6 linked regions of the Oryzias latipes genome follow. The protein of the gene in region 3 interacts with the protein of the main gene of each other region in a pairwise test. Links are inferred from orthologs where the notes say so. Each region holds a gene or a part of one and is shown on either strand. Other genes may lie near its edges. The genes, in order: tfg, rhobtb3, RNA-binding protein with multiple splicing, neu4, nedd9 and 5'-AMP-activated protein kinase subunit beta-2.

What was found.
Region 1: the proteins of RNA-binding protein with multiple splicing (region 3) and tfg interact in binary tests that used the Homo sapiens proteins (3 or more experiments, as listed by UniProt). The two-hybrid records come from large-scale screens. The link is inferred for Oryzias latipes from reciprocal best matches to the Homo sapiens genes RBPMS and TFG.
Region 2: the proteins of RNA-binding protein with multiple splicing (region 3) and rhobtb3 interact in binary tests that used the Homo sapiens proteins (3 or more experiments, as listed by UniProt). The two-hybrid records come from large-scale screens. The link is inferred for Oryzias latipes from reciprocal best matches to the Homo sapiens genes RBPMS and RHOBTB3.
Region 4: the proteins of RNA-binding protein with multiple splicing (region 3) and neu4 interact in a two-hybrid assay, tested with the Homo sapiens proteins (2 studies listed by BioGRID and IntAct). The two-hybrid records come from large-scale screens. The link is inferred for Oryzias latipes from reciprocal best matches to the Homo sapiens genes RBPMS and NEU4.
Region 5: the proteins of RNA-binding protein with multiple splicing (region 3) and nedd9 interact in binary tests that used the Homo sapiens proteins (3 or more experiments, as listed by UniProt). The two-hybrid records come from large-scale screens. The link is inferred for Oryzias latipes from reciprocal best matches to the Homo sapiens genes RBPMS and NEDD9.
Region 6: the proteins of RNA-binding protein with multiple splicing (region 3) and 5'-AMP-activated protein kinase subunit beta-2 interact in binary tests that used the Homo sapiens proteins (3 or more experiments, as listed by UniProt). The link is inferred for Oryzias latipes from reciprocal best matches to the Homo sapiens genes RBPMS and PRKAB2.

What each region holds. Positions count from the first base shown.
Region 1 is NC_019879.2:8,948,540-8,952,039, reverse strand, and holds part of tfg (protein TFG), read left to right. Parts: intron 1-408; coding exon 409-573; intron 574-654; coding exon 655-801; intron 802-3,500. UniProt on the Homo sapiens protein: Plays a role in the normal dynamic function of the endoplasmic reticulum (ER) and its associated microtubules. Required for secretory cargo traffic from the endoplasmic reticulum to the Golgi apparatus.
Region 2 is NC_019863.2:17,211,193-17,214,692, reverse strand, and holds part of rhobtb3 (rho-related BTB domain-containing protein 3), read left to right. Parts: intron 1-2,273; coding exon 2,274-2,379; intron 2,380-3,059; coding exon 3,060-3,233; intron 3,234-3,500. UniProt on the Homo sapiens protein: Rab9-regulated ATPase required for endosome to Golgi transport. Involved in transport vesicle docking at the Golgi complex, possibly by participating in release M6PRBP1/TIP47 from vesicles to permit their efficient docking and fusion at the Golgi.
Region 3 is NC_019876.2:8,063,078-8,067,316, reverse strand, and holds the start of RNA-binding protein with multiple splicing, read right to left. Parts: upstream 2,801-4,239; 5' UTR 2,442-2,800; coding exon 2,379-2,441; intron 1-2,378.
Region 4 is NC_019871.2:13,922,634-13,926,855, forward strand, and holds neu4 (sialidase-4), read left to right. Parts: upstream 1-1,422; coding exon 1,423-1,623; intron 1,624-2,221; coding exon 2,222-2,477; intron 2,478-2,962; coding exon 2,963-3,909; downstream 3,910-4,222. UniProt on the Homo sapiens protein: Exo-alpha-sialidase that catalyzes the hydrolytic cleavage of the terminal sialic acid (N-acetylneuraminic acid, Neu5Ac) of a glycan moiety in the catabolism of glycolipids, glycoproteins and oligosacharides.
Region 5 is NC_019869.2:19,404,888-19,409,180, forward strand, and holds the start of nedd9 (enhancer of filamentation 1), read right to left. Parts: upstream 2,801-4,293; 5' UTR 2,609-2,800; coding exon 2,597-2,608; intron 1-2,596. UniProt on the Homo sapiens protein: Scaffolding protein which plays a central coordinating role for tyrosine-kinase-based signaling related to cell adhesion. As a focal adhesion protein, plays a role in embryonic fibroblast migration.
Region 6 is NC_019875.2:22,987,785-22,991,959, reverse strand, and holds the start of 5'-AMP-activated protein kinase subunit beta-2, read left to right. Parts: upstream 1-1,375; 5' UTR 1,376-1,697; intron 1,698-3,165; 5' UTR 3,166-3,181; coding exon 3,182-3,340; intron 3,341-3,410; coding exon 3,411-3,568; intron 3,569-3,667; coding exon 3,668-3,761; intron 3,762-4,175. UniProt on the Homo sapiens protein: Non-catalytic subunit of AMP-activated protein kinase (AMPK), an energy sensor protein kinase that plays a key role in regulating cellular energy metabolism.

The sequences.
Region 1 (3,500 bases), on a different chromosome or scaffold from region 3:
TGTTAATTTCTATACAGAAATTATGGGATTTTGGCTTCTTGTACCCACTCGGTACTTCCTGTTTAGAATGCCGGGGGGAGGGGTTGCTCAGTCCAGCTCTCATTTACAGTCGGTGATGCCAATTAGAATGAGAATGTCATGCTTGTTTGAGCCTTCATTTCAGCAGTAAAATTGATGAAACGGTCACACCCACATGCTGGAGCCAGTCAGAGAAGAATAGTTTTAGTTTGGGGTTAAAGTCATTGTATTTGGCCTTTTGAGTTGGTTTTACTTTTATCAAAATGTTTACTTTTACTCCTTTGCATCTCAGAAGTCTAATGAATTGTTTGATGGTAACCCATTGAACATTTTGGAAGTCTTTACTGCAGTTTTTTTGATCTGTTTGTGTCCCATTTGTCTTGTTTGTAGAGTCAGTAGATGGGCGTGAAGGTAAAGTCATGGCGGCCGACCCCTCAGTGAAAGGCCCCCCCGTCAGTGCAGCCAGCATGTCGGCCTTTGACCCATTGAAAAACCAAGATGAGGTCAGCAAGAATGTCATCTCTGCTTTCGGCCTGAGTGAGGACCAGGCTCCAGGTACTGGGAGCTTCACCATCACAAATGCACAAACGCACAGGCTACAGCGATCATGTTCTGCTGTTCACCTGTCACCCACAGCTCCCCCTGCTGTTGCACCAGAGGAGCGCTCTGCAACCCCTGACAGCATCGCCTCATCCTCATCTGCTGCACCTCAGCCGGGAGTCCCCCCCCAGCCACAGCCTGCCTATGCTGGAGTACAGCAGGGACCGCCTTCTGGGATGGATGGTGAGCTGGTGCAACCTAAACCTGCTTAACCCAGTAACACCAGGGCTTTAGCTCCAGGTTACATTCTCTCGGCTACTCTTCAACACAATTAACCCATTTCTAAAGAAAAGGAAAGTGGACTTGTGCTTAGGGCTGTGACAATAACCGCATCACCGCATCACCGCGGTGATGACCTCATCACCGCGGTGATGACCTCATCACCGCATCACCGCACTTTTTTTTTTTTTTTACGTTTTGCATATGGTGCGTTTGGAACTATAATAAACACATTCATCTTTGCTGATAATTTCCTTTTTATGCTAGTCCTGTGTTCAGACTTTCTTTCTTTCTTTCAGACTGTTGTCTCCTTTTCTCCCACCGCGCGTGCTCTCAGTGTCTGCCTTCGCGCTGCAGGTGGCACGCGGCTCCGTTTACCCAAACAGGCGCGCAATTTCAGAAGCACACATCCTTATTTTACACCAGAAGTTTCCGTCTCGTGAGGAAATACGATAAATTTACTGCTTTCTAATTATTAATTTTCATTGTATTCATTTCCATTACAAGCTGCGTGCGTTCCTAAGTGCGCGACACGGCCGCCCACCGGAGGATTCTGTGTTTGGGGGGGGTGTAACTGTCCTCCTTCAATCCGTAACACCAAACAAGAACGCGCACTGTTAGATTTCCATGAAAATCACCACATGTTTTGTTTGGGAACTATTTTTTGCAGACGTTTCTGTATAAACAAAGGCGGAGCAGTTAACCGCGACACCGCGCCCCCTGGTGGTTCATCACCGCGGTGATGAAAAATTCGACACCGTCACAGCTCTACTTGTGCTGATTAGCAATACTTTATAGCAGTGAAGTGTTTACACAATCAAAATAAATCGTCTGATTCTGTTGTAGATAAAAACAGCTTTGGGCTGTTATGCATTACTTCATAAAGTGTTGTTTATAAAGTGTAGCATATCGGCGCAAAGCCGCTTTTTTCTGCTACAGAATCCATTTGGATTAACTTGTTTGTTATTTAGATGCTGCCTGCAACATCTCCAGTGTTAAAGGGTCAATGCAGTAAAAAATACCTGAGCCATCTTCAGGGTTAAACTGGCATTAGTATCTGAAGAAGCAATGCAATTCTAAACTCTGATGCCAAATGACGTGAACAGCTAAAAACCTGCACAGAGTTCAGTGCTTCTCGCATAGCAACATGTATTTAGTGTGTTGTAACTTTGGCTTATAATTAGTCAGGGCTCCAGACTAACTTTTTTCACTAGGAGCACAGTGGCCCCTAACTGAAAATTTTAGGGGCACAACCAGAAAATGTAGGGGCGCATACCGTAAATCAACATTCTAACCAAATCTACTAATTTCCACTGTATTACTAATAAATACTTTAATAATAGATGCAGAAATTACAATGTGCTGTTTCAAATTCAGTGTCACATTTTATTCTGCATTCTTTTGAAGATGCAACAAGAAGGTAAACTGACAGCAGCATCTTTGTGACACCAAATAGGTACAGCCAAGATGCACAATAAGTGTGTTTGAGATCACCCAGGTGAACTCAACGCTGCGCAGATCACCTGGTGTGTGACATATATTTTTGTTTTTGCTCCAACATCAACTGTCAATCATCACAAAATATTGCGAGAAAGGGGTGGGAGCAAGGGGCAAACCTACCCGGACACAGCTGAAAACTGAACTGACTGAAAGCTGCCCTACAGACTACAAAACAATGCATTATGGGACATGTGTCCTGATGGTTTTTGTAGTGGAGTGATTAATTAAAATAATTTAAAATACCAATTCATTAAAAAAGGCTATATAGATCACAAAACATTAAAATAATCATAAACTAGAAGGAGCTGCATTTCCAGAAGAAAATGCAGGGTTGAATGCTGTACTGCTGAATGAAAGCTGAATTAGCTGAAGAAATAACTGAACTGTACTGGAAGAACCATGAAAAGTTAAAGGTGCAAAAGTCCTAGCAGGAATAAGCTGAAAAAGTTGAACATTGTAATAGTAGAATGGCTGAAATAGGTCAAAATTTGTAGGACTTAAGCATGAAAGCTGAAATTGTTGAAAAAATGGCTGAATTGTTGAAAATTTGAAGATGTTGCTAAAATGGCTAAAAGTACTAGCATTGGAATCAGCATCATCAACTGAATCCAAAAAACACATTGTTTGAGAGTATTATATTGGTAAAAGCTACATGTTATAAGTTGATAGAAAATCCACTTTTTTCAAAATGGCGGCTTTTCTATTGATTTTATCTCCATAGCAACCATTTTATGTTTGGGTCGCCTGGAGATGAGGAACAAATCAACGTCGGTTTCAGATGAATCGGAAAAAGTAAATTTTTGGACGTCCTTAGCAACGAGGTTTGTTTGCTAACCACGCCCACATTCCTTATATGTCCAGATCCAGTGAATTTCAATATGTTCAGTTCCAGCCATGGATGAAATTTATTGCAACATTTGCTTCAGATTTTGTCAAAAAATGCCCACCAAACAGTAGGTTGTGTTGCCATCCCATAATAATTTCAAAACGTATGTTGAAGTCCAAAGCCTTGTGAGCATTTCAATGTCTGAACGGTGCCTCTAGCTGAAAGCATGTTAAAGTTGTAATGCTTGAAAGCAACAAAGGTTTTCAAGGATTCTCCATGTATTTAAATGAAGAAAAAATCTTGGAAAATCCTGGAAAATCTTGGAATATCTTGAAAA
Region 2 (3,500 bases), on a different chromosome or scaffold from region 3:
GGGGTAAAAGAGGCTGACTGCTCACCAAGGTCTGCATTAGAAAAATGAATTATGGGAAAAAATGTAAAGTTGACTGCAGCACTGAGAGGATTTTGAAGCAAAGCTCAAGGCTTTAGGACAGATTCATAAGAAGTGGACAGCTGCTGGAGTTTGTGCTTTGAGAGCCATCACATGTTGACACATCCGAATGACTTCTGCTGCAACGTTTTTTGTGTCAAGCCACTCTGAACAGGGAAAAAACGTCGGACTAGGGCTAAGGGCAAAGAGAAAACATTTTCTGAGTGATCCAAAGTCACCTCTACATATGAAAAGAGATTTTGCATTTCTTTTTATTAGAGTCAAAAATGAGTCTCAGACTGTTAAATTCCTTGAGTGTTTCCCTGTTGGTGGGGAGCCATGTCCTCCATTGTGCTTCATCAGGTTCAATTTAAGTGCAGTGGTTTAACAGGAAGTCTAAGAGCACATCTGCTTCCTTCTACTGACAAGCTTTATGTAAATAGTTGTAGCTGGATGAGGTAGTTGACTATTCTGCTTAAATTCCAACTTCTGTGATCAGCCATTAGAGCCCTGTCAAATCTATGCTGAAAGGAAAGAAGCCACAGTAGATCCAGAGACTTGGGGACTTGGACTTAAGACTCAAACTTAAGTCTAGCACACAGGGACTTGTGATTGATGTTTATTATAATTTTTCAGCTTTAAGAAATTTCATTTTTCATTTATTTATTTGTTCCTTTCATGAAAATTATCGATCGTCCAATATGTTTACATGTTTGTCTTACAATATTGAACATTTTCATGATTTAAAAGGAGCACAGTTGAAGAATACAATTCTTATAATTGTCTGCTCCCTTTTAGCCCTTGTGCTATCTTAGATGACCCCACCCTTACATTGATGTGTTATTCCTACAATGACAAATGTGGATAAAGGTGGAAAGATTTCATGTAATCCTTGGACACCAGTGAAGATCACAAATCATTGAAGAAAAAAGGTTCAGCGCACTGTCTAGTAGGTCTAGATGACCCAACTCCCAATGTTAAAGTGCCTAGGATAGCACAAGGGTTACACATTTCATTGTATTTACATTTCTTACACCATCACTTGTGGTCAGATTTCCAAATAAAAGTGGTTTATTGACTATTTGTTCTGATGAAATATTCATTTTACTGGTTTTAAGACTTGAATTGAATTAACAGCTGAAGATTTGACTTGAACTTGCAGAAAGGAACTTGTGAGCATCTCTGGAGAGACCCAACAACCCAAAAGAGCTGAAGGCTTCTGTCAGATCAGCCGTGACATCTATAAAACCTCAGTGGGGATGCAGATGAATCCCTTCCATACCGTACAATTCTTACATTTTCTAACTAACTCTAAAGTATTTAATAATTTGAGGTACAGAATTTTTAAATATGGCTATAATCTTCAAAACTAAAGGAAGTAGACACCTTAAATGTCCCTCTGTGTGAATGAATCATAGTGACCTTTACCTTTTGACTATAAATAATTTCTTGATGGGATTCTAATGTACTGAGATGACTTGATACCTTTGAGGTTTCAGGTGTCTCTCTCTCTCTCTCTATATATATATGAAGCGGCCAACTTAACATTCAGAGTTGGGCAACACTAAATTGATGTGTCTGACAAGGCTTTTGGCACCATGCACGGCATACAAACCAACAGGCTGGAACAAAACACCTGAGGCTGTTTTGAGTCAGTCTGATGCACAGGGCTGCAGGAGCTTTTTTTAATGTGATGAGACACCATAACATCCTGTTTGATGTGCGCTTCTACGGACACCTCTGTGTCGTTTGATACCATTTGAATGTTTTCTATTAATTTGCAAAAATCAAAGGTCTGGATTTTGTTGCCATGCCGATGGAAGGGTTTTTCTGTGTCTAATGGAACTGCGAAAGGTTGTGCTAATTATTTCAAGTCAACAAAACCTTGTCTGACAGTACAGGTGGTGTGTTTTTTATTTTACATTCATTAAAGTGTATCAGCTGAGCGTGGCTGCTTTGACAACAGGTGGGTTGGAGGACCGTCTGTTTCCCCACGCTGTTCTCAGCGTTAGCCAGTTCCAGGCGTGTCGCTTCTGGCATTGGAGTTTGAGAGTGTTGGGTAATGCTAAGCCACACTGACAGAGAGGCTATCTGTATTCCGTGTGAGAGGCGAGTTAGTTGCTCCAAATAGCAGGTTTTTTTCCCCCCTGTTAACAAGTACCTGACTTTCATCAGAGGAATGCTAACACCCTGATTTATTTGATTTCCTGCTGTAGAGCTCCAGGGACACGCCAAGTGCACGAGCAGCTCAGCTCGGTCCTCAGACTCTGGTCAACCTCTTCAATTCTCCTCTCTATTCGGACGTCATTTTCATGGTGCAAGGTGGGGGCAGACTGATCACCAAGACACACTTCTGTTCAGATTCCCACCGCACAGGAGAGTCACAGTTTTTTCACTTTTAGTTACATTTTAATGTTAGTTTCTGCTCTGTCATTTCAAGAGGCAAAAAACCATCAGTGTGATGTCCTTTTTTTAATTTTGATTCCCCTCATGTTTTAGGATGGCCGCCGCTCCTCTACTCCTCCAAAATAAAAAATGCATTGAAACCTCACCTCATAAACATTTATCATGAAAAGTGCAGAGAGCTTTTCCTCTCTATTCCAAAGTGCTAGTAGAACCGCTGAGAAGTCATTGAGAAATACCTATTTAATGTTTCATAAAAGATCATTTCTGTTTTATTTCATGTGGAATTTTGAAAAGGTTAAATAAGTGCTGCAACTGCCAAACACACATCAAGACCCAAATGAAATGCATTTAATCTGTATTTATGTTCAAGACTTCATCAATAAGAATCGCGTTTTAATTTAGAGTTTGGACTTGGCTGTCACAAGCAAAAGCCCACCGAAAGAAATGACAGAGATGCCCGTTTCAGATCTGAAGAGGTTTTCTTTTGAGGAGTACACATTCACTATGAGCTGATGTATAGTTTGAATATTCTAAATCTAAACTAATAAATTGCCAGGTGTTCCTTTATTGTTGTAATTTCTTTCATTATCAAATAGGTAGCGTGTTGCCGGCTCACCGGGCCGTCCTAGTTGCCCGCTGTGACGTCATGGCGGCCATGTTCAGTGGGAAGTATGCAGAGGCTCGGAGCAGAGTGGTTCCCATCCATGGCGTCTCCTCTGACACCTTCCTATCTTTCCTTGAGTACCTCTACACTGATTCCTGCTGTCCTGGTGAGTTTCCTCCAATTCTAGATGAACTTTCAGAGAAGCGGACAGAGGGGAGTAAAAGAAGGACAGAACATTTCCTGATTACTTCAGTCTGTAAATGGGAAAAGTCCCATTGCATGGTGTAAAAAGATGTTCACATAAGTGCATAGGTGCAGTGGACTTCAGCGTTTGTGTTATGGGTCGAAGCCTCTGACAAAAGCACATATGATGAGTCCCTTCAGCTTTCATACCACTGTCAGTCTCACAGAACTGCAACAAATCTTAGAAACA
Region 3 (4,239 bases):
TGAGGGGAGGTGGCATGAGGACCGTTGAGGCCGTTGTTTGGCATGAGAGTCACACAAACAACCAGACTGTTAAACTTTGGCTCATCATAAGGTTAGTTTATTGATACGTAGGTGCAGTAAAGCAGAAAGCTGTTAAGCATTTAGTGCCTGCAGTGAAACTGGAAGGGGGTTCTGCATTTTAATGTGTAAAATGAGGCCGTTTGAGAAAGCTCCACACCAGCTTAATGCCTGGATGAATCAAGGAGGGGGGGGAAAAGGCGCATTTACGTGTGCAGAACTGGGTTCGGCTTCACTTCCAAGCCCCCAACCTTGCCGCTACTCTTGCATGCAACACACATCATTACACCCAAGATAAAGTGGGGGCTGTCTAACCTTACGCTAATCCATTCAAGTGAATTTAAGTCCTCGCTCGTCTGGATGGCGTCCAAAATGCTTCCACATTAGATTCCTCTGGCCATTACTCTCCCCGTCTCTCTTACGAAAAAAAAAAAAAAGCAACTCGAGACAACTCACGTCCGGTGAGTCCGCTTGAGTACTACTTTTCCAGCCGGACGCAGGTCGAGAGAATCATTTTTCTACTCGCGTCAGGACTGTTGGGTCTCTTTGATGTCCAACGTCACAAAAACACTGCCGATTTAGCATAGGTTCAAAAGAGGAAATCTAACCTGAGAAAACCTCCATTTGAAAGAGGGAAAACATGAAACCTGGGCCCCTTTAGGATAAATCATTCAAGTACAGTTTTCTCTATTCCAACAGAAGCTCTAGACCCCCTTTGTTTTAGCAATCCAGAGGTTATCGGATGGGCCAAAACTAACTATCGATTGCTTAAGTCGTTTGTTAACCAAAAACACACAAACCTTTTTTGCCCCATTGATAAAAAGTGATCTTTATTACTATTTGTCCAGTAAAAAAAAAAGAACAACCCAGAGCTCTTCTAAATAAAAATACACTTTTTTTTAAAGGGTTTCGGGAACTCTTGAGGGTACAGAGACCTCTGTCACAAAAACACTAATGAATAGGTTCAAAAGGTGAAATCTAACCTGAGAAAAGCTACATAAGTAAGAGAAAAAACAAACTTGGAACACTTTGGGACAGATGACTCAATATTTTCCAACAGAAGCTCAGGACACCTCTTGTTTTTAGGTATTGGGAGGTTATCTTATTGACAAAAGCCAGGTATTGATTCATTAAGTAGTTTATTACCTAAAAACACACAAGCGTATCTTTGTCCCATTGATAAAAAGTAATCTTTATTACTATTTGTCCAGAAAGAAGAAAAAAAACCTGAGCTCTACCACATAAAAATGCATTTTTTTCAGGGTTTCGTTAACTCTATGGGGGTACACAGACTCCACAGTAACCAACAAAACACAGTCTTACATCAGTTCGAGTGTGTTGGGTTATTATCAGTCAGTGAGTAACATTCTGCTGAGTTTTAATCAAATTACTCCAAGAGAAATAATCTGATCTACCTTCCTCCCTTCCCTCGGGTGCAGAGGCGGGTTCTGAAACAACAAAGAGCTCGTGCAAATCGGTTCCAAAACCGAACCAAAAAGACGCGGATGGACTCGAACCAAGGTCAAGAAACCGAGCGTTTATCTTCTGACAAATACACGTTAGTGTGTTGTGTTTAGATCCAGATGCGGGACGAGGCTCCTGTTGTTTGACTGTGAGGTAGGATTACATAGAGTCATTGCCTACATGTTGCAGCATTAGTTGTTTGAACTTCAATGCCTTGCTCATCTTCAGTGAGAACTAAGTCTCCCTGACTGCATGGCTTTTCAGTAAACTGTAGCCCACAACCTGCCTTCAAATTAAGAAACAGTCATGTTTTAATGAGTAAAGCAATTATTGCATTAAAGAAGGGGCCGATCTCAAAATGAAATGCATTTTTTTTAACATTTTCACCCATAAACCAATTTTCTTTGGTCACAAAAACCTGTTTTCACCCAAATTGCAGTTAAAACTGAACCAGGACGAAACTTTCGTTTATAAAATTTTACATTATAACTAAAAAAAAAGCTGTTTTTCATGAAAAAAAAAATCCACTTTATAGAGGGAAAATGGGTATAAACGTACATTTATTGATTGAAAAACGTTATGTTTCAGCCCAATAACAAAAGAGAAATAAAAAAAAAATAAAAAAAAGGTTAAAAAAAAAAAAGAAAATATAAGGGAATGACTGACATCTAACTTTAATGAAACCATAAGGATGTTAAGGTCAAACATCTGGATGTGACAACTTTTAGTAGGATAAACTCGACTCTAATTGACTCGGGTTCACCTTAACAGGTAGAACGCGGGTGGCCGGGAAGGCTAAAGCGGCTACACCGCCTAACAAGTAGTTCTGGCGTCTGATTTAAGGTGGAACCGCGTACCTCCTCTTCGTGGTTGGTGAATTCAGTCGTCTCGTTCTCCTTCTCGGTTTTGTTGTTGTTCATCCTGAGCCGCACTCGTGTCGCTCTCGCTCGGGACGGTCGTCTTCTGGTCTCGGTCTCTCCTCCTCGGCTCCTTCGTTGGATTCGACAGGACAGGCAGTCCGCGCGCGCGCCCGCTGTCCCACTGACCCGAGCTTCCTTCACTTTTAGTTTTGCCACATGAATCCCACTAAATGCCACCCCCCGTTCCTTCCTTCTTCCTGCCTGCCTCGTGTCTTTACCACTCAAAGCGGGGTGAGGTGAGCCTGCGGGCGGGTATTCCTCAGCATTCCCTGGAAACCAGAAGCCCCTGTCTCCTCAACAGTCAATGCTCGCTGGACCGAGCCGCAGGCAAACTTCTCTCCCCATCTCCGCGCGCGCGAGGGAGGGGTTTAGGGTGGGGTAAGGAGTGGGATGCGCCGCAGCCCGATCAAGATTTATCAAGTAGCCTCGTGGAGGGAGAGCTTCAGTGGAAAATCAGTATCAGTCAACTTTAGGACCAGCTGCGTGTTATTTTAGTCCCGGCAACATTCCTGAGATAGTCTTTCAATGTGCTGGCTTATTTATTTTATCAGGGACAATAGGTTGAGTTTCTTTTTTTTGTTGTTGTTGCTCCAAAGAAATGTATGAAATATTTCTACATTATCAATAAAGAAATTTTCAATTTTAGAATAATTGTGTCAACCGTGTAAAGCTTGTCGTCCTGGTTATCTTGTTCGATTATTATTTTCAGATAATCAGTATTATGCTATACATTTTTGAGAATTTTAAAAATTCAAATCGTTGTGAATCAGGAGATGAAGATCGTATTTGTGATGTCAGAAATACGCTGGGTGGGCGGCTCCGTTCTGACGCATCCCTTGTAGACGACTAAATCCATGTACGTCTTGGTATGGTTGTATAGCTGTAACACTGCTTGCCATTTTTCTTGCACTGCTAATGTCAGGTTGGGGGTGTGAGGGGCTTGTAAGGTAGTGGGAGAGAGTGTAAACAGAGAGCTCTCAACAACGGGGAGGGTAAGGGGGAGCGGGGTTGCTCCATGCCAGCAGTCCCGCCCACATGTCAGAGGGGAATTTCTAATGAACTACTGCCGCTTTGCAGAAACTATGACCAAGAAACCAACACAGGTTTTTTGGTTTTGGAAAACGGTACAATCATAATTAAAAGACCACTGGAAACGCTTTAAAAAGAGCTCAAAAGATGAGCGGATGGGTCTTTCAACCCTTTAACATCGGAGATTTCGCTGGCAACAGCTGAACAACACACGCCCTTTGATAAGGGCGAATCCCAATTCTTCCCCTACCCCTACGGCTTCTCCCTACCCTTCCAATTGTAGGGGCTTTTGGAGGGATAGGGTTGTCCGAAATAGTTTTTTAATGGCTAACCCATGGCTGCGGAGGGATGTCGAGCCCTAAGTAATGACTTTTTCCTTTAGCCTGACGTTTTACATGTTGTTAGGTATTTCCGAGCACCAGCTGCTCCGTGCTAACGTAGCTGACCAGCGACTGTTCATGATGTTATTGAATGGGAGTAACGTCCGAATTTGAAGGCATTATGTTTCTATAACTCTCCGTCTGGGGGACTAAATGTAGGGGTAGGGGAAGAATCTGGATTTGGCCTAACTCTATGATCGTTTACCAAACCAATGGGAATCAGCTAAATCTGACATGGAGAAAAACAGCTTTTCTTTTGGGCTTTGCACAAACATGCAACACATTATAGTAAAACGGCGCAAAGCCAATTTTCTTTGTTTAAGAATTCGCTTGAATTACGTTATTTAACGATGAAAGAGTTACAGTTGCCAATACTTTTGGTAGTAATA
Region 4 (4,222 bases), on a different chromosome or scaffold from region 3:
AAAAGTTCAGTGCAGGATTCTTGAAGTTTGATATTTTTATGCAAAAGGAAAATTTAAATGGCATCAATAACATTTATGCACAATGGCTGGCATTGGACACTTATGTTGATAAACTCACATGTAGAGACAGAGAACCTTGATGAATCAATGTGATCTATTTTTTATATTTATTGTTTGCATGTGAGTCTAAAGAAGATTTTTGACACTTTGTTTGAAAGCTTTTTTCTGTTTTTACTTAATTTTTAATGCACTATGTTTTTGTGTTCTATGCATAAATACCGTAAATGTTCTACATTTCAGTCACGATATGGAACAGTACTGGTGCTAATATGAGAACGTACATATACAGACTAACTGTTGAACAGTTTCAATAGACCTTTGATACATTTTGAAGGGAAGTTTAGCAGTGAAGAGCTTTGAACCGAAAGAAGCACCTATTTATTTCCCAGGCGCTGTGCAATGAGAAGACAAAGGGAAGCAGAGAGAGAATACATAGAGGGCAGATCATAACTTCTTTGTTCAGATTGACCCCTCCCACTCTGCCATCTTTTCCACAATGACCACTGTCCGCTGATTCATCCAAAGCTGTAGATCTGATGAGTGTTCATTTCTGGGTCAGTGAGCAGCATGCCGTGCTGCTGCGGTGAACAGAGAGAACAGACCATGGCTTTCAGATCCTCTGTGGAATACACAAACTCACTGCACTGTCATCCCCAAAACCCAACACTCTCTGTACCAACACAAAGTAGCTGCAGCTCTTTCTGAACTTTGGAAAGGTAAGGACTCATATCTACTTCCCCATTGTGCCCTGGACATTAATTTAAAAAATTGTGAGAAAATGTGCAGATAAATGTCATTTTTACTCTTAAGAGAAGAGATTGTCTCACAATTTAAAACTCAGCCAGTTAAGTCTTTGTTGCTACAATCAAGATACATTTAGTCTTATAAAGTATGTACTTTAAAGGTTAAGCTACGTTTAATTACACAAATGCCCGTGCTACCATTTCATTTTTAATTCATTCCTTTAATGGGATCTAAAGTAAACTTGACAGCTTAGACAGTAAGAAACAAAACCTTTTCTGTCACCTGACTTTTCTTCAGGATTGTTTCATCAAGTTTACCTTTGAAATCATGAAATAAATTCTTATTTTTGGGGTTTGTTCACAGTTGATACATTTTCTAATAATGTATGTTTGTTCGTGTGTGGAATATATTCATGTTTATCATTCCACATAAAAGCCAATCAAAAATTGAGAAAAGCAATAATTTCTACTGAGGCAATTATTGTTTTTCCTAATTCTGTATTTTGCACCACCCCATGTACATGCTATATTTTTCAATGAAAGCTGGTTCTGATTTTTACGTTTTTGCAGAAAATCTCCGGGTTTGCTTTGAGGAAGTGTCACACAGTCCTGCTGGAGCATGAGGTCGCCTTATTTCCCAGCGAGATCAGTGCTTTTCCGAAAAGAGTCCAATGGAGTGACGTATAGAGTCCCAGCTCTGATCTACGTGCCCCGCAACAGAACATTCCTGGCCTTCTGTGAGGAGAGACTCAGCCCGTCTGACTCCCAGGCTCACCTGCTTGTTGTGAGGAAAGGCACTTTCTACAGAAACTATGTGGAGGTCTGTGATAGGATGGAGTGCGGTGATTTTTAACGGTCAGAAACACAAAGTTTTGCTTTAAATTCTGCTTGTGTTGACATTGCACTGCTCCAAATATAATTTTTGTCAGCACTCTGATAAGTTAAAGGATAAAACACACACAGTGCAAAAGCCAGAACAAACCTTTCTCTTTTTTATTTAGATTTATGTCCATATTGTGTTTAAAACAACAAAAAGCATCAGTTTGGAGAACACAGTGATGTCCAAAAATACATTAAAAAACAAATTATAAGAGGCAACAATTGTTTTTGCAGGATGATGGTGTATTTACAGATTATAGAGTAAGATTTGATATCTAAAATAAGACAATAATTACACAAGTGTAAACACCAATCTTCTTATGCAAGACAAAAATGAAGAACCTAGGAAAGAGTCAGACAACTGGCATTCACTGAAGACTCCAGAAGATTCAACTAGGAAATTTTAGTAATATAACACAGTTATATAAAAGTAATATTTGCAACACAATTTGTCTATTATCATATTTAGTTTTTTATCAGTTCATTTCTTTTACGTATACTTTTTTCTGCCCTTGTCTCTTAACTGATTTTTGTGGCAGTGGGGCAACATCAGTGTTCTGGGCACTGCCTACCTTCCAGGCCACAGGTCCATGAACCCGTGTCCAGTGTTCGATGACTTCACGGGAACGCTCTTCCTCTTCTTCATCGCTGTTCTCGGCCACACGTCAGAGTCCTACCAGCTGGTGACGGGGAAGAACGTGACCCGGCTCTGCTACATCTCCAGCACCGATGGGGGGGACACCTGGAGTCCAGTCACCGACTTGACCAAGACAGTCATAGGAGACACCATTAAAGGTCTAAACATGTCCACTTTGAACAGATTTTTAATCTGGATAGTCTTTTTGAGATGAAGAAAAAAACAGCACAAATGAAGCCTAAGATGTTTATTTCTCCTCTGGACTTCAAATGAAAACGAAGTCAGACAAAAAAAAAAAAAAACTTCTGAAAGCCCCAAAAACTTGATACACCTCATGATACATGATACACCTCTGTGTGTATCAGAGTGGCCAAGATACTCAGTCATTAATTTATCTCCAAAAGATATTTGCATTTCTGATCTCTTTTTGCATAGAAACCACCTTTATATTGTTAAAGCACAGAAAAACAACAATCTTTAGTTAAAAACCACACTTTGTAGAGCTCCTATGGGAAAAGAGGAAATCTTTATCAAATTGCCAACAATTAAATAGGAATTAGGGAAAAATGCTAGCTGTGTTCTGAAAATGATACATGCTATAACTGTTTTTTCATAGTCCCATTCCTCTCCTTCTTCCCAGCAGATTGGGCCACGTTTGCTCTGGGCCCGGGTCACGGCCTACAGCTGAAGTCGGGCCGTCTGCTAATTCCTGCCTATGCCTATCACATCGAGTGCAAAGAGTGTTTGGGGCGCCTCTGTCAGACCACTCCTCGCTCCTTCTGCTTCCACAGTGACACGCACGGCAGGAGCTGGCGCTTTGGAGAAGCCATTCCAGCTCCAGAGAGCGTGGAGTGCCAGATGGTGTCTGTGGATGAAGAAGACGGCTCCAACGTGTTGTACTGCAACGCACGAAGCCCTCTGGGATACAGGGTACAAGCCCTCAGTCTGGATGACGGAGCTGTGTTCCAGTCAGGGCAGCTGGTGCCCCGACTGGTGGAGCCTCGAAATGGTTGTCATGGTAGCATTGTTGGATTTCCTGCCCCGTTACATTTATCCAAAAGTCTGAAGAATTGCTCAAAGCGTCTTGTCTCCAGACACTGGACATCCCACACTAGCAACATGCACCTACACCATCCTAATCCAGATTTCCTAAATCCTACCTGGGTGGTGTATTCCCATCCAACACTGACCACCGCCCGCCAGGATCTGGGTCTGTTCCTTAGCCTGTTTCCACGTGATCCAGACAGCTGGCGTGGCCCCTGGGTGATCTATGAGGGTCCCAGCGCGTACTCTGATCTGGCCTACCTGGAGCTGTCAGCCTCACCTGGAGCTGTGCCCGCCGTGGCCTTCGCCTGCCTCTTTGAGTGCGGCACCAAAACCCCCTACGATGAAATCTGCTTCAGCATTTTCACCCTCTATGAGCTCATCGACAATCTGCCCGTGGATGTACAGCCCAGGGAGGATGACTGCAGACAGACCAGCGGGAGCTGTAAACAGCAAACCCAAAGGACACCTGCTGTGCAGCCGAGGCCGCACGTGAAGAAGAGGAGGAAGAAGAGCAAGCTGCTCGAGATGTGTTCTTCTTCCTAAGCACAGTTTGAAATGTATGACATCCAGACGAAGTATCTTTTGATTAATAGCATTTTAAAAACAATGTATTCTCTCCTCAGGTGCATCTGGGTATGTGATTTTTTTCCAGCAAATTAAATATTAGATTGTAACTTTCATAAGCTTTTTTTAGTATACGCCCATTTTAATGCTGCTTTTTCTTAAGAACATTTGTAGTTGGGGTTTTTAATGCTCATATTTTTCAATTATCTAAAGTTTCTTGGTGCTTTCTTGGTTGCCACTAGTCAGTGAATTTTTAGCAACTTTAAGCTTCTGAGACATTATGCTTTTTATC
Region 5 (4,293 bases), on a different chromosome or scaffold from region 3:
CCCTGCACCCCCCTCACACTCCACCCCACAAAACGACTGTTTTCTCATGTTAATAAGGGCGTCTCATTTGAGGACACAAAGTGTGTGTGTGACTTGGGGGGGGGGTTCACTGTCGGCCTGAGAGAAGTTCCCACAAAAAACCTGCACAGGGGTAAAAGTGGACAAGAGCGTCCTGCAGCACAAGACGCCACTTCACAGCGGGAGTGGAGGTGGGGGGGTCATGACTTTTGGCAGAGACACAAATTATGTGCTAAACTTGACAGGGGGGGGGGGGAGGCGTTAGCCTCATGCTTTCACTGTTTGCACTTTTTGAGGAAAAGTATGCTCGCTTCCTGTAAACACACACACACACCACTGCATTTGCCCTCTCATTTCCCCATAACTTCCGCTCTTTTTCATTTTCTACAAGCCTTTCTGCTTCACAGCTCCTCCTCCTCCTCCTCCTCTTCTTCTTCTTTGCTCTCATAACAATGCTACCCCCACCTCCCCTGGACCTCACTGCTTTGCAGTAAACCACGGGCGGTGCACCCGCTGACTGCTATAGCCTTAAATTCCTGCCTGGGGTCCAACCGAAAGGCATCTGAAGCAATGTCTGAGCGGAACCTCTTGATGGTGTTGAGACCTCAGGTAACCGTGGCAACAAGAACCACCACTCTGCAGCCCTTCAGCACAGTTTTACAGATGCAGGATAGAAGTGGAGGAGAAACACTTTCGTGTCTGCACTCCTTTTTCCTTTCTGCTGAATGTCACTGGCTGCTCAATCCTCATTGTTTACATGTCGCTGTAGCCCCTTGCCACCTCCTTTTGGCTCAGCTGACTGTCAATCACACTGTCTGAGTCGGATTATTGAGATTTAAAGGAAGATTTGGATTAGATTCTTTAAGGAAGAAAGGTTTGGGCTTTCAGCGATGGACCACCTTTGGTCATGTGACTGGTCAGTTTGTTTGGGGCTCATTTAAAGTCAGTTTTAGCTCAGAATCATCGTCATCTTGGCTGGGTACGAAGAGCGAGCAGGACAAATGAGTTAGTTGTTGGAGCACGCTTAGTAAGATTCCAAAATCTCCTGGGAATCAAAAAGGAACACCCCATGTTTTGCCCGAATACTATCTCAAATTTAATGGACAGTGCCCCAAGTGGTGACCTGGTGAACTGACATGGCTCCAGTTTTTAAAGAACACGAGCACGAGTGGCAGCTCAAATGTTATGACTCGAACCAAACTGAACTTTTCTAGAAAAAAAACGGAGAACATCCGTGGAGAAACTTCTTGAAGGAAACAAGCTTTTTTTCCCCCTGGTTCATATTAAAGACACTTCCTGAAAACATGCTGGGGTAAACTTTAGAAAGCTTCTCAGATGTTCATTAACTGGGTTAGTAAAAGGTCACCTCCCGCCCCCTTTAGACTGAGCGTGCTCTGTTGCTCTGAGTCGGTGGGAACAGAACAAATGTGATCCGTGTCAGAGCAGTGAGACAGATCTGTTTCCAGGCTCTCACAGAAGCTCCTCTCAGCCCTTTCAGTGTTTTTCTTTCCTTGGATCATGTTTCTGCCTCTGCTCTGCGTGTGCGAACTCATCCGGGGGATTAGACGCATCATTGTGCAGTGCGTACGGCTCCTGGCCGCACCTGAACACCTGCTGGAAACAGTCTGACATCAGCTACGTGCCGCCGGAGCCCAGCTCGCTGTAAATAACTGACAGACGCAGTAAACCCTGCCACAGCCAGGAACTCGATCGTCTTGCTGTGACGTGACCCTGGTCCTCAGAAGGGCTACTTCAAAGCTCCAGCCACCCTCCACTCCCAAAAGGGATGTAGTAAACATAGGTAGACGTGTTTATTAATAAGCAGAATCCGTATGTAGAAGGGAGGGAAACCAGGGTGTCAAAGTACTCCCTGGAGACACCATTGTGGGTCACAGACAGTTGCTTACTGTTTATCTAAATGCAACCATGGAGACCAGGGCCTCTTTGTTGATGATGACTCAGTGAAGGCCTCAATCACAGCACTGACTAAAAAACTGAGCGTGATATTGTCCAATCAGTGACACCTGCCTGTCACAGCAATAACGCCAGATTATACACGAATGTCACAGCCATCAAAACCACCATCCTTTTTCCACACGTTCTATTAATATATATTATTGAGATGATGAATGTGGTGGATTCATTGAAGGATGCAACTTTTACATTTTTCTGAACACATCTTGAATAAATATTGATAATATGGAGAGAAATAGCAGAACAATTGACAATAACTTGATGTCCCCAAAGTATTTTTTTGCTTATGTTTTCTACAATTTAGAGTTTATGTAGGAGTTGATCATCTTCTTTACTTTTTTCCCCCCAAATAAAAAAGTTGGTAGATTTCAGGGGGGCTCAGTGGCATGGGGCGCAGAGGGGACCGCCGTGTTCTTGTAGACGCCCCTGCGCATCTTTCAAGATGAAGTTAACCGGATTCTGTACAGCTGAACCTCTGCCTCTGTTAAAAGACGTCCCCCACGCAGCCTCAGTCCGGATCAGCACTTTGAACAAGTTCCTGAGTTAAAATAAGTTCTAAACAGAACGTCGCTGACGGTAAAAAGAAGCCAATCCCGCCACTTACTTTATATTTCATCCCGCCGTGCGTGTCTGAAAATCAGGGGAAAAGTGACGGAAATCCTCCTGGACGCGACACAGGACCACTCATCTGAAGAACTGCCGATCCAGAGAAGGTTCCGTTTGGATTAACGATCCATCCGGCATCGGAGACAGAAGAACAACTCTTCCGAGAGTCTGTCCACCGACGTCTGAGCCGCTTCAGCAGACAGCAGCGGCTCTGCACCGCTCACCCCCAAAGCACGTCGTTGATTGGTCAGAAACCCACCACGGCCCCGCCCCCGCAAATCCCGTCCTCAGATCCGTGACGTCATTGCATGGATTTAAAAAAGTAAAAGCCGACTCACTCATGTAAGGAGGGTGACGGAGTCAAATCTGTCGTTCAGGGTGAAAGAGGGTAATGTGGTGAACCCTGGACGGGTCACTAGTACACCACCAGACATTAGTTTAGCACTAAGAAAACCCACACATGCGCAGAGAAACCACTCCACGCACGCTCAACTCGTAACAGGTCTAAGGTAAAAGTGCAAACAGCACCCTAAAGCAGCTGACGTCCCAATAAGGAGTCATCAGTCCGAATCATGATATATATGAATAATATTAATGAATAAATATTTTAAAATTTAAAAAATAGCTTTATAGTTACTCAAATTATTTTTTTAGTCCAGTTAATATTTTTAAATTCCCTCCAACACATTAGATACTTCTTACAAAACTGCATTAGTCAGTTGAAAATAATATCTTGCTATCTCTACAGGCTACATTATCCCATTTACTTATTCATCCTATTTGTAGTTCTTGAGAAGACCTGAGACTATGGAAGTTGACCTGTCTAAAGTCAATTTATAAAAAATCGTAAACATTTTTAACACAATATTTAATAAAATATTGGCCCCTTTAGAAAAATTTTGTTACCCACAATGGATGGGAAGTGACATCTTTCAAACCTAGAACCAAACAATACTATCTGGAGCCAGGTCAATTCAACAGGTAACCACTAGAGGGCGCGTTCACATCCTGTGGTCTCCAGTCCAGAAATAAAGTATTCAACCCAAAACAAATTTGTCAAACTCTCAAATCCAGAAAAGTAAAAACAACATTTGTGAAAAACTGATTTAAACAATAAAGTGGCATTCATTTGTGAGATGTACTTAGAACATGGACAAACACATTTTCAGGCTAAACTGGACAAAACAAAATCGGCATTTTTTTGATATTTTTGTTCTTTAGGAACATAAAACGTTTAGCTCATGAATCTCCAGTAAAGATAAACAGTCCCAAAACCCAAACCTGAGTTCAAATTCAAAAAATAAAACCATGCAGGGATGTTTTAGTCTTTGTTGACCTACAGGATTTAAATAGACAGGAATAGATCCAAACCTTCTTTCAGGACCCAAGAAAAACATAAACACATTATTACTTCAGTGAGGGGTGAAAAAATAAAGAATTAAAATGTGTGTGTGTGTATAAAAACGCCCCTCTCAGTCTCCGCGGGTGGTTTCTCCTCCAAGCTCGGGTCCTCTACCAGAGGCCTGGGAGCTTGAGGGTCCTGCGCAGTATCTTAGCTGTTCCTAGCACTGCGCTTTTCTGGACAAAGAGGTCTGAGGTCTTTCCAGGTATCTGTTGTAGCCACTCCTCCAGCTTGGGGGTTTACTGCCACATCCACCACAACGGCTTTCCTCTGTTCTTTGTCCACCACTACAA
Region 6 (4,175 bases), on a different chromosome or scaffold from region 3:
TTCGCCCATATGAATCAGGTTGAAAACGCCTCAATTAGTAACTGCTTTACAGCAAATGTTGACCAATCAGGGCTGTCTGGTCTTTTAAGGAAAGGAGGCTTTTAAAAAATAAAAGTAAGAAAATAGCATCATGAAAAACATATCAGGGGATAATACTGTCATGTATCAATTTTTTTTCTTTTATATTAAAGCATGTAAAAAATTTAGGCAAATAAATTCATGAATATCAAAAATGAACATCAGAAATATGGTCTTTCGTTAAAATTTAAAAATGAGTGACAGAATAAAAGTGTTTGGACATAAATCCATTGATGTTCTTAACCTGCTGTATCCCTTTCGGGGTCACAGAGTCCCCAGAGCCTGTCCCAGCTGTTGGGCGAAGGTGGGGTACACCCTGGACTGGTTGCCAGTCGGTAATGGAGCCACACACTCATAGCTACACTAAGGGACACTTTAGACTCACCAATTAACCTATAAAGCATATTTTCGGACTTTAGCATGAAGCCAGGGTGCCTGGAGAAAACCCACACAGAAAGGTCCCAGCTGGTATTTGGACAAGGACCTTCTCGCTGTGAACTAAGAGCACTCACCGCCACAGTACAGCCCTGGACAGAAATACGCTCACTAAAAAATAAACAAAATTCAATTTCTCAGTTAATGTTGTAACTTAAACTTTTTAAAACATTTTATAAACACCCGCAACCAAAGCAGTTGTGATGTGATAGGTGAGCTGATATTGTAGTAACAAATTGCTGGGGAGGGGGGGGGGAATCACACCTTATCATTTCCACAATGTCATTTAAATCATTTTGTTTACCTTGATGGAAAAAAAGCTATGATAGAATGAAAAATGCCAGGGATGTCAACTCAGCTGTTTTACCTAAAATACAGTGTATTAAATTAAGTAATTACAACCCCCCTAAATAATTAATCACTTTGAATCGAGAGTACACATAGACAACAATACATATTAAAATGAATGAGAAACACTTATGCTCATTGCATTAACGTCATTAAATGACTTAAGTAACACAATAATTTGTATTTTTTTATGCAAATTAGGGTAAATCTTTTTTTTATTAAATAAATAGTATACTTGATACATCTATATGTTACATTTTATAGTATAAAAATGTCTTTTAATTTCATTTCATTTTATTTGTAAAAAAAAATTACATTGACTAAATTGTACATTATTTGGATAATTTTACTACAACCACTATTAAGAAGAGACACGACACCAAATAAAGAATTAATTACATTTATTTAAGTATTTGTAAAATTTCATAAAAATGTTTTTTTTTTTGTTTGTTTGTTTACCGGATGTTGTTTTTGTCGCGGCTGACTGCTTTTTTTCCTTTACCGACCGCCGTAGTTGTAAAAAGGGGAGGATCTTCGCTGGTGTCACAGACTTTCCTGCTGCTCTTCAACACAAATCATCGCCTCAGCAGCGATAGGCCGAGCTTCTAACCCTTTTCGGTTCTTTTAAATGACTAAAAACAACAACAAGTACTCTATCAAATTAGTTAAATTGTTTTAGTTGTTATTTACACAGTGAAAGGAGTTCCCGGTTCGAAAGCAGAGTGACAGCTAGCTAGCTGCTAGCTGACTTTAACAGCGACCAGCAGCTAAAAATATTCACCAGGACAGTCGCGAGGTAGGCGGGCACAGCAAAAGCGTCCTGCGCAGTTACCACGGTAGGTTACAAATAGTGTGTTTTGTCATACGAACTAAGCTTTTTATTGATTCGCAAGTCATTCGGTTGTAGTTAAAGCAGATTTTCGAAGGGACCCATCTGTGTCCAGGGAAGTTCACTGATAGTTCATGATGCTAAAAATACCTTCTAAACGTGGGTAGGTTAGCTGTTGTGAATATTTTTATTTTCTTTATAATCTAAAGATAAACGTATCGTTGTTTTCCACATCATTAGGCTGTTTTGTTTTTTGATTGATTTATTTTTAAATATGACTCTGGATCATCCTTAGTTCTAAGAAGAAAAAAACAACAATCACAACTGATGATTTGATGTTTTTTATAGCTATAACTTTAACTCTCACGAGTAACACAATTTTAGTTTATTTTCTGTAAAACCAGAGTGTGACATATGTGAATGTCACACAATGTGACATAAAGCGAAATAGGATTTGCTGTTTGTTGACTAAAGCCAAGGCTGATCAGTGTTCCATGAATCCAGCAGTGTCACGGTGAACCCACCAGTCTACAGTGTTCAGCAAACACCTGCGCCTTTGTAGTAAATAGAAGCTTTTGTGCCCTGAGCTTTTAGTTTTTTCTTTTTTAATTTGATCGTTTATCTATGTTGTTCACTGAAACCTCCTACTATTTTATCCTTTAAAATTAAGACATCTTAGCTTGTAAACTAATTTGAAGTGATGGACTTGATTATAGTGTGAAAGGTTTATACTGCTCATTTCTATGTAGGGGGAGGGGGGATCAGTGTCTCTGTGGGGACGTAAAAGGTGATGCTTGTGAAAACAAGCACCATCATGTGATCAAAATTCAATTAGAAGTTGTATTCTCTTTTAGGTTTTTAGTAAAAAGTACATTTTACTATGATTATTATAGAATAGTTGCATGTCGTTAACTTAAACCAATCTTATCAATGTTTTATGATACAATATTTTTTAAAAAGCTTACTTTGGTACTTAAGCAATTTTTGCCTAACATTACTTTCTTGTAATTTCTTAGTAATATGAAACAAAAGTTATCCTAGAGTTCGCTTAAATCAGATCATCTTTACAGAGTTCACTTTTTTTTTAGCAAGGGAGTTGAAGTCAGTCTGGCTCTTTACTTGGTTCAAATTAATAACTGAAAAAGGAAAAATAAGGAGAGGAAAAACTGTCACCAGATGCATTTACATGCCCTTAAGAAACCGAGTGAAACTGTGTTTACAGAATAGTTTCAAGTTTGTTTTTTGGCATTAATCTGCTCAGTGAAAAACAAGTTTTTCAGAAAAGACTTACATTGTAAACTGTTTGAAAAGACGACAAAAATCCTCTATGAAAGCAGAAAATAATAGAAAGCATCTGATAAATATGAATAATAAATATCCTCAATGCAAACATGAATGAACATTTGTCATAAAAGTGTTATAAATAATGGTTTAGTTCCCACTTCAAGAGTTTCTCCCCCCTATATTTTGCACAGTAAGCAGTGAAGCATCATGGGTAACACAAGTGACAGGGTATCTGGAGATCGGCATGGAAACAAGGCCCATCGTTCCGACAGCAGCGGCAGCCACAAAGACCAGGAGCACAGCACCAAGATGGTGGACAGCACAGATGATCCCAACATCTTCAACACCTATGGACCTGAGTCTAAAGTAGGAATCCAACTACTTCACTATATAATCTCATTTCTTTCATATTATAAATATTTATGTTTGCTGTTAGGGGCTAGGAGATAAAGAATTCACCCCGGATCTGGATGACCTGGTGAAAACTGCCTCCCAGGCCCGTCCCACAGTGATTCGCTGGGGTGGTGGGGGGAAGGAGGTTTATATCGCAGGCTCTTTCAATAACTGGAACACTAAGATTCCACTGAATAAAAGGTAAACCGTTGGTTTTACATCAGTTATACTGGTGTCGAATGTGTTTTGAAGTTTTGTCATCGTTTTAATATTGTTTGCTTTTTCTTTCCCTCCTCAAAGCCATAATGACTTTGTTGCCATTTTGGACCTGCCTGAAGGAGAGCACCAGTATAAGTTTTTCGTGGATGGACAGTGGGTTCATGATCCTTCAGAGGTACCCGAGTCATTTTTCTGTGCTTGTAGTTTTTGTGGAAAAAAGTTTGAGCTCTGCTGGTTTCTGGGTTGCAGTCAACATCAAAACCTAAAGGATTAACTGAAAGCGTTAACAAGCTAATTTGCTGGCAACAAGTCATCTTAACTGAATATGAAGTAACATGGTTGAAGCAATAGGAAATGTTTTCTTGGAGTATAAGTCAGTAAGAACAGATTTTAAGCTTGGCATTGGTCAAAACTTGTCAACTAACCCATCTAAAACAGATTGGACAGGATGGTTCTGTATGTTTTATAATTTCATTTTTAATTGTTTTTTTTTACCCCTTATTCATGCAAATATTCATTAAACAACTTCTGCTTCAAACTTACCTTAATCTAGCATCAACTTAAAAAGCACAAGCATTAGTGAAATTGT